Daphnia pulex: one gene and its partner. The protein of the gene in region 1 binds, or shares a complex with, the protein of each later gene. Links are inferred from orthologs where the notes say so. Each region holds a gene or a part of one and is shown on either strand. Other genes may lie near its edges.

Region 1 (4,090 bases):
AATACGATTACCTCCAAATAAGAAACGATATCATCGATGTTGTCAATCACTTGGTCTCCATCTTCAAGGGACGGAACACGGCGCAATCCGCGTTGATGAAAAATTTCTTTGGAAAAAAGTTATACATTTATTTTTAGTCCATAAAAGTTTATGCGAATTTATCCCAACTACGGATCGTGTACCTGGTGGTTTAGCTAAATTTACGGTGACGGATCTGAAGTGGAAGGGATGCTGTAGAGATTTCGTCAATACTACCATGAAGGCTCTCTGTAATAATTGTAATAAAATCTTGTTAACGTAATCCAGATCCCCATTTAACTAAGAAATCAACGAACCTGACAAAATGGACAGGCTCCGTAGCGCTTTCCGTCTGCTCCCGCCTTGACGTACAACACCTAGCAACAAAAAATGACGTCATCGGAAAATAAAAAATGAAGCAAACTGGTAAAAACAGAACCCTTACCATCATTTGTTGTGAACTTTGAACATCTAAACTCATTTTTTCCGCTGCGCTCAAAATTTCAGATTTATTTACAAGGGAAGTCACTCTTGTATTTACCAAGTACGCAGACGTAAAGCACCCGTAAGGAAATATGAAATAGTCTGGCAGCTGCTGTACAGCCGCGATGAGAAACTCACACTTCTAAAACCCGAATAAGCCAAAATTTAACCAACAGTCTCCAGCAGGTTTATTTTTGGCCGCCCTAAACATGCACACTAACTAAATGAACCGTTTTCTAATATCAGCAGTCAGCACAATGTCGAAGTAGAACCAATAAAGAAGCAAAGATACGGGTGTTGAAGCTTGCGACACTGTCTGAAATTCGCAGTGGTGAACACAAGAAGAATGCTCGGCACCAAAAACACGAGACTAAAGGCTCTATCTGCCCATATACTAGCAGCTAACCGACGCTCAACATGAAATAAGCCCGAGGGACCACAACAAATGCTGTTTCCCAGTTCTTTTTTTATCTAAAAACTTTCACTCACTTCTCTTCCTAACCATCCATCCCCCCTCTCTCTTTTGCCATCCGCAACCCGCAAGTCTTTTTTCGGCTTTCAAGTCGGAATTGTTTTTTCACATGCTGTCATTTGTGCTGGTTTGACTCGACCTTTTTCATGTTATTGTTTATTGTACTTTTTTTGCTTTCAACCCACAGCCGAAATATGTGAATAATTAGTTCATCCGTTGAGGGGGGGGGGATGGGGTGCGGAAGGCGGAATTGACTGGTAAAGTGCGAGATTGAGGTGCGGATTCTCCGCACTTTACTTATTCTCCCCATCCGGACACTTTTGTAAAAGTTTGAATTTTTTAAAGAATTAATTATAGTATTTCTGACCTGATCTAAAGCAACCAAACCTAACCAGCTCTGTTTTAACTATTATCGCACAATCAAAAGTGACAATGTTGCTAAACTTACTAAACACAGCTTACTACAACATTAAGTCACATTATAAAATGAAACTAAAGTTATTTGTACTGCTGAATAGTGAATACGATTAATTTTTATTTTTGCGCCCTAGTAGTTTTGAACTATTTGAAATGCATTCCCCATTCCCATTGTTTCTGTTTCCGCGCAACCATATTTTAGAAGCTCCGAATAAGTTGCGCGGACTGCTTACAGACTACAGTGAATCTCATTCTTCTATACAATATACCTTGGCTATGCTATCAGACGTTGTAGTAGGTTATTAAAGAAGATCTTTTGGTAAATACAGCTTACATTTTATCATTTTTTTCCGCAAATGTAAGAATAACTGTCTCATTTCTGGTTCAATAGTCATTTATGCGAAAATTGTGGTGCCGAATATGACGACTGACACTAAACCTACCAGTTTCAACCCCCTTGAACAGTTTGTACTGTTAGCAAAGTCGGCTAAAGGGGCTGCAGCTGTTGAATTAGTAAAGCAGGCTTTAGAAGCTCCTGGCGTTTATGTGTTTGGTGAACTACTCGACATGCCCAATATTACAGAGGTGAATTTTTTTTATGTTTAATCGATGAAATTTTCTCATTTATGCATATTTTTTTCTAGCTTCAAACTGATCAATTTCAACCTTACTACAATTTGCTGAAATTATTTGCCTTTGGAACATACAGACAATATCTTGAAAACAGTAGTTCATTGCCCGAGCTAACACCATTTCAGCAGCAGAAACTGAGACACTTAACAATTGTGACATTATCTGAAACCAACAAAGTGAGTATTGCTATCATTGTTGCATGCAGTCATCAATGGCATCTTAAGTTAAAGTTCACAGCTACTGTAGTTTGTTTTTATTAATTGTTGTTTCAATTTTAGTGCATTCCATATGAAGTGTTGGTCCAACAACTTGATATGAAGAATCTCAGAGAACTTGAAGATCTTGTCATTGAAGCCATCTATGGAGGTTTGCCACCAAAATTATTAATTAATACATCTTGATTTTATCATCAACAATTATTCTTTCAGACGTTATTCATGGGAAATTAGACCAGCGTAACGGTCGTTTGGAAGTTGATTTTGCAATTGGTCGAGATGCTCAAGTCAAAGACATTGGCCGAATCATTCAAACTTTGAACGATTGGTGTGAAGCATGTGATGCAATTCTCGGAGCCGTTGAAACCCAAGTCATGAATGCAAATTGTGAAAAGGAAAAGCATATCAAGCATCGTGTCGCTATCGAGGAGGAAGTTTTGAATATTAAAAAAACCTTGAAATCCCAAGTATATCTAGCACTACAATTATTTGAAATTCTTAAAACTAAATCTGAATGCTTGAAACTTGACAGATCCAGGAAAGCGATGATATATCTCTTACTGGTGAAACGCGCAATGAAATGTTAGGTGACAAAGGTAAGAAGCTTGCCAAGGGAAAAGGATTGAAGACCAATGTTCCAAATAAGTTTTGGAATAAATCCTGAAAATTTGTAATTACTCCTTAATGTTTGTATTCACTTATCCCTGAAAGCATTGGACTTGATTCACCCATGGTATTGTTGTCTCAAAGAGTGTTCGCAATGAAATAAATAAAGAAAATTTCTTTAACTGCACTTGCTGACGAGCATTGATATTCATCATCCGCCAAGGCCAATGTCTATTTCTAGGAACTCGGAACTTGGCGGTTTTTCTTGTTCAAATTTTAGGTAGCTGTACAAGCATTTTAAATGCAGTAAAGAGATTCAGTCATGAAACCAAATAACAGTTGTGTACATATCTTCACGCTATTTTCAAATGGAAAACAAAAAAGCTTGGATTGCGCAACAATTTCGTCACAGTATTTTCATTTGTTCCAGACGCTGACTTTGAGCTTTGAAGTACCGTTCTGCCATGTAGGTAACTTTCTCGATGTATGTAATCCCTTTTGTGATCTCTTCCCCTATTCTGATGACCAGCAGACTTTTCTCTTCTAACCCTGTGATGTCACATGCTTTTTGGCTTAGAGTAGCGCAATTCACGCACGCATCGTTGAACGCAATCAATTTAGATGCGCTACCTACTATTCGTACTACTGGATGAGTACGGTAGAGGGCTCTCTCAGTTTTTAGATTTGTATTGCCGCTGTAGTCCCGAAGCACACGAAGGGTGCGTCCGTTTTGTAATCATCGAGTCATTTGATCACGTGATCTGTACAACAACCAGTTACCAACGAGATTTTTATTTCAGTAAGTTATCAAATTATCGGAGTTTGGTGTTTTGCGGTGCTGCCAAGTTGTGGTTTCTTCGTAAGATGACGTCTTTTTCAAACACAGCACTTTTTCCCCCTTAACCATATCAACAGATGCATATGCAGAATCCTAAATGAAACCTTAATAAAAAAAAATAACAAATGCGCGATTCTCTAAAGCCACTAAAATCTGTTGTCTTAATTTCGGTTAATCTAATGTTAGAGTATTTCAAATACTATTGGCGAGGGCTCAAATTAGTTTAAATAGGTTTAAAAAGTGTTTTCGCGCATTTAATAATTGTTTGAATAATTTTTGGCATCATATGCAATATGTTACAATAAAAGGAACGAGTTTGGGAATGAAACAATGAGTTACATTCAGCTAAAAATTTCCGGCAGCTATACTAACTCGACCGGACGACCCGTCTAATACAACATCAAATTT
Region 2 (4,329 bases), on another chromosome or scaffold:
TTCACATGTGTGTTCTTTTTTGGGATCCCTTTTTTGTCCTTATATTTTAGGCTTTAAATGTTTCATTCATATTTAGGTTTCATTGAAACAGTTTGTTGATCTAGAAAAAAGCCTTCACAATAGAAACACAATTCCTAGACATGATGAAGCATCATGCTCAATGAAAACTATATTGGGTCTCCAATACAAACAGGAATGCAGGCAAGACCCTTGGGACTACTCAGAACTAATTAACTTGGCTGTTATTTTGAAAAATCATTTAGAAGAAGCCAAGTCAAATTTAGGGCAACTGAGTAGAATTGTCATAAATCAACAAAAATGCCTGTAAGGATTTTGTCATCTTTGTCTTACGTTTGGTTATTTACATTTATTTGTGTATTCATAGAGAGCAGCTGGTTTTTAAGTTGGAAGAATTGCTCTTCGGGTTTCCGCTAACGTCTAAGACGCAGAAACCTTCTAATCTACAATTTCTTGATGAAAGAATTGATACTTTGAATGTTGTAAGACGAGACGTTCAAAGTCAGTTGAAACCCTTGAACAGAAAATTCAAAACTAAACAGGTCGTTTTCAAAACTGATCATCTGAACGTACTAGAACGTAGATTATGGACGCTTTTTTACACTGATGTCACATCAATGGTTCATAGAACAAACGCTTTGAATATTAAAATAATTCCCATGTAAAAATTGTATTTCTTTTTCATACTACACAATATCAATGTACCATTTGTTCATCCATTGCTTTGGCCATCCAGTCAGGTGCTACACTAGCAATCTTCTCTATAATATTATTCACTTGATAACACAGTGACTGAATTGAACGATCCCAGGCCGGTAAGACATCACGACCTAAAATTAATCAACATTACATATTTACATTACTGTACTGTAGACAATAAATATCAACTTACTTTCGAAGTGCACGATCGAATCTATCTGATCAATTGAACCGTTCATTCGACCTTCAGTTATCATTTGTGATGCAATTTTCTCAGCTCGAAGAGGATCCACTTCTAACAAAGCTCCCAGTTCCATGAAAGTAATGTTGTTGTACAGTTTACTCGCAGCCAAAAGGTTATGTTCTGTAACAGCACGCTCGAGAATTGAAGAACCTTAAAATAATAATAAAGTGACAGTTTTCAATGAATCAGATGATATAATTACCATCCGCTGTCTTAGCCTTCTGATGAGGTTGCAGGAGTGAATCGAGCTGAACAAGTTCTTTTCGCCTTATAATACGATCGAGATACATTTTCTCCAGAATGCAGTACGCTTGCAACTGTTGACAACGCTCATCCTTAAACAAAGTTGCAAGCATTCTGCTTCTCTGTTGTCCCGCCGATGCTAATATTGTACATATTAATGCATTTCTTAAAGCCGTCATTCGTTCATCGTCATGGATTATGCTTCGGTAAGAGAGCTCATTGTAGCGCTGGGCTGCTTCAATGAATTTACGACGATAATCCAATACTCGAGCATAGCAAACTTTATAATAAACCTGTAGCTGTTCATTTTTTGACTCGGCCTATTTAAATAAATAACAATCTTTAAGCATATTATTTGTTACAGTTAATACAGCTGAATTAATAGTGTTCTCTAAAACCCACAGAAAAGTTATAATACAGTTAACATAAAGAAACTGATTTTTAAATTGCTTATACCTGTAGCAGAGAAGCCCGATTGATAAATGATTCAGCTTGCACTGGGTCATCATCTTCTAAGTAGAGGCGTGCTATTTTCAAGTAAGTCTCCAGTTTGTAGTCCAAGGAGTACTGTCTACAATGTTTGACTTGACAGTGAAATTATCATTTACACAAGTAAATACTAATTGAAAAATTTACTTTTGCCCAGTTTCCAAGGGTATTCCAACTAAGACATTAGCAGCTTCCTTCCAACATTGCTCTCTTTCAAAGATATCTGCCAAATGCTGACGAATGGATGCTACTTGCTCTTCAAAAGATATCACTCGTGGCTGGATTTTCCCTAGAGCAAAACTGCACACAGATTTTCCCATGTCATCTGTCAACTTTGGAACATGACAACTTATTTCAGACAAAATCTGGCGACTAATAACAAGTGAAACATTCTCATGAACAATTGTTTCAATTAAAGCCTTTAAGCCCTCAACGAGTCCTTCACTATCATCTTGGTTCAATATACTTTCTAAGATTAAGCGAAACTTTTCCGCCTGATCCTTATGGAATCCACCTAGGAGAAAATTCGTGAAAATTACACACCTATATATTTACACACACATGCACACATACATATATATAATTGTTAATCATATGAAATTTTTTTTACCGGAATTCACAAGTGCAGCCAATTGCTGTTTATAGTTGTACATTTTTAGTTTTAACTGAAAAATACTATTAGAACCACAGACTACGAAGTACAATAGTCAGGGAGCCCGTGTCAAAGTAGACACAAACCTTTTAAGAGAAGGTTTGACTATCAACTTTGGTTTAGGAGGGTGGGAGAACCGCGAGATGGCGCGTCTGACGATTCAGACCGGCCGGGTTCGAGAGTTATTCACTCCCGAAGTCGGCGTGATTTGGGGAAAATCACAAACTGTTTAAGAGAAAAAATTTTTCAATCGTAATTTAAAAAAAAATACACTGATTCTAACGTCAGGTCGCCAGACGTTAGAATCTGCCGTTTTGAACAAATCAGACGCAGTCAAAGTTTCACTTTTTTGTGAAATTTCACATTTCATTTAAGAAATGTATTTTTTTTTGCATAAAATAGCTGCAAGTGAATTAGATTAAAACGTAATACGTACCTCTTTGTCTTCTGTTCCTCGAAATATCGAGACAAAATTTGTATTGGCAATTTATTTCACATCAAGCATGCGTATATCCATTTATTAACATCATGCGAAACAAATCATAAAAAGTAACCAAAACGCGCATTAGTCGCAGCGTGACAGAATATTTAGCACAGGTAATAAGGGTGCATTTAAAAAAAATATTTATTATGGGCTAGGAAAGAGCCTTTATTATTCTAGAAGCAGTAAATGGTTTAAATTTTTTTGTATTTCGGACAAGCCAACTAATGAAATGAGACATGAAAAACTACATGTAAAATTTGCCTGTATCATTTTTCGAATCATAATGGTTCGGACACGATAATTTCGATCGAGGGGACAAATTTCCAAACATGTTGTTCATTAGTTGAATCATACGGAAGATTAGATTTCGATTCTCTATTTTGAGTCGAAATTTTGAGTGAGCAGACAACATCCAGCTTGTAAGTCCCCGGTGTAAAAAAAATTATGCCACAACAATGTTTGTAGTTACTGTTTGGCTCCATCTTTTTAAAGAAAGCAAAACAGAAACAGATAAGACATTTTGATACTAAAGGAGCATATAAGGAAAATAAATACCTTTTCTAGCACAGCATGATCTGATCCAATTGTAAGCAGGCGTGTGTCTAATCGCCGATGAAACGTGCCATTTTGCAGATCTTGATATACCGATATTTGAAGATTCAGCGGACCCAAAAATTTACTTAATGCATTGAATAAACCGACTGTTACATTTAATACATCTCCCACTACACATATAAATTCGGTTCTTTCAGCTGACCATATTTCATTGTTTAGTTCCACCTCCAGCTGAATTGGAGGAATATGTAGAAGATCCAGCATAGATGGAGCTATGCGCAGGCCACTCAACGAAGCTTTGCCTTTTATTACTTTAGTCGAGTTTTGTTCAATGTTTTCATTGATAGAAGTACAAGTTTGATTGACGCCAGATAAGCTCCACTTTAGCTCAACTAAGGAGGAAATATGTTCGCTGCAAATCCTGGCAATCTTTTCAAGTTGCTGTTCTGGACTCAGGTCCTTTTCAGTGTAAACATGGGTTAGCTTGACCAATGGACATCGTTCAACAGGTACTGGAATACGACACGTATCAAGCGCTTCTATGGCAATGTGTTTGCAACTGCTATACTGTAGCTCCATTTCTGCAAGTATAAGAATTTGTAACGTTAAATTTTAATCTATGCTACTTAATGTTAAGCTGATGAGAGAAATAATGTTTTAAAAAAATCATTACTACTCTCATTCTCATATGCATTCCAAGAATTTATTACACAGATGCTATAAAAAATAAACTCGTGCATCCGAGACGATGCAACGCCATCCAGAAAAACTATTTTAAATATGGTGTATCGAAACGGCGGTGAAATTTCAACCAGCGTGTGTATCGTTGAAATAAAAGCGAAGATCAAATAAATTTACTTATCGTCCAACTACGGCGGACAGAATGATAATAGCATGTGTTTTACTTTCATCGCGGGCAGTCAATCTATTATTCTTGAAATGTTT

What was found. The genes of interacting proteins can lie anywhere in the genome.
Region 2: COP9 signalosome complex subunit 7b-like (region 1) and COP9 signalosome complex subunit 4-like share a complex: the UniProt entries of both Drosophila melanogaster proteins name them as parts of the CSN complex. The link is inferred for Daphnia pulex from reciprocal best matches to the Drosophila melanogaster genes CSN7 and CSN4.

What each region holds. Positions count from the first base shown.
Region 1 is NC_060017.1:4,235,275-4,239,364, forward strand, and holds COP9 signalosome complex subunit 7b-like, read left to right. Parts: upstream 1-1,422; 5' UTR 1,423-1,709; intron 1,710-1,781; 5' UTR 1,782-1,810; coding exon 1,811-1,975; intron 1,976-2,034; coding exon 2,035-2,199; intron 2,200-2,301; coding exon 2,302-2,389; intron 2,390-2,451; coding exon 2,452-2,705; intron 2,706-2,770; coding exon 2,771-2,902; 3' UTR 2,903-3,031; downstream 3,032-4,090. Other genes in the region: chloride intracellular channel exl-1-like, read right to left, coding at 12-106, 183-267, 336-395, 464-499. UniProt on the Drosophila melanogaster protein: Component of the COP9 signalosome complex (CSN), a complex involved in various cellular and developmental processes.
Region 2 is NC_060024.1:7,065,432-7,069,760, reverse strand, and holds COP9 signalosome complex subunit 4-like, read right to left. Parts: upstream 2,495-4,329; 5' UTR 2,347-2,494; coding exon 2,304-2,346; intron 2,208-2,303; coding exon 1,841-2,207; intron 1,776-1,840; coding exon 1,661-1,775; intron 1,525-1,660; coding exon 1,164-1,524; intron 1,112-1,163; coding exon 911-1,111; intron 849-910; coding exon 715-848; 3' UTR 684-714; downstream 1-683. Other genes in the region: HAUS augmin-like complex subunit 3, read left to right, coding at 77-324, 386-683; trafficking protein particle complex subunit 9-like, read right to left, coding at 3,108-3,311, 3,385-3,965. UniProt on the Drosophila melanogaster protein: Component of the COP9 signalosome complex (CSN), a complex involved in various cellular and developmental processes.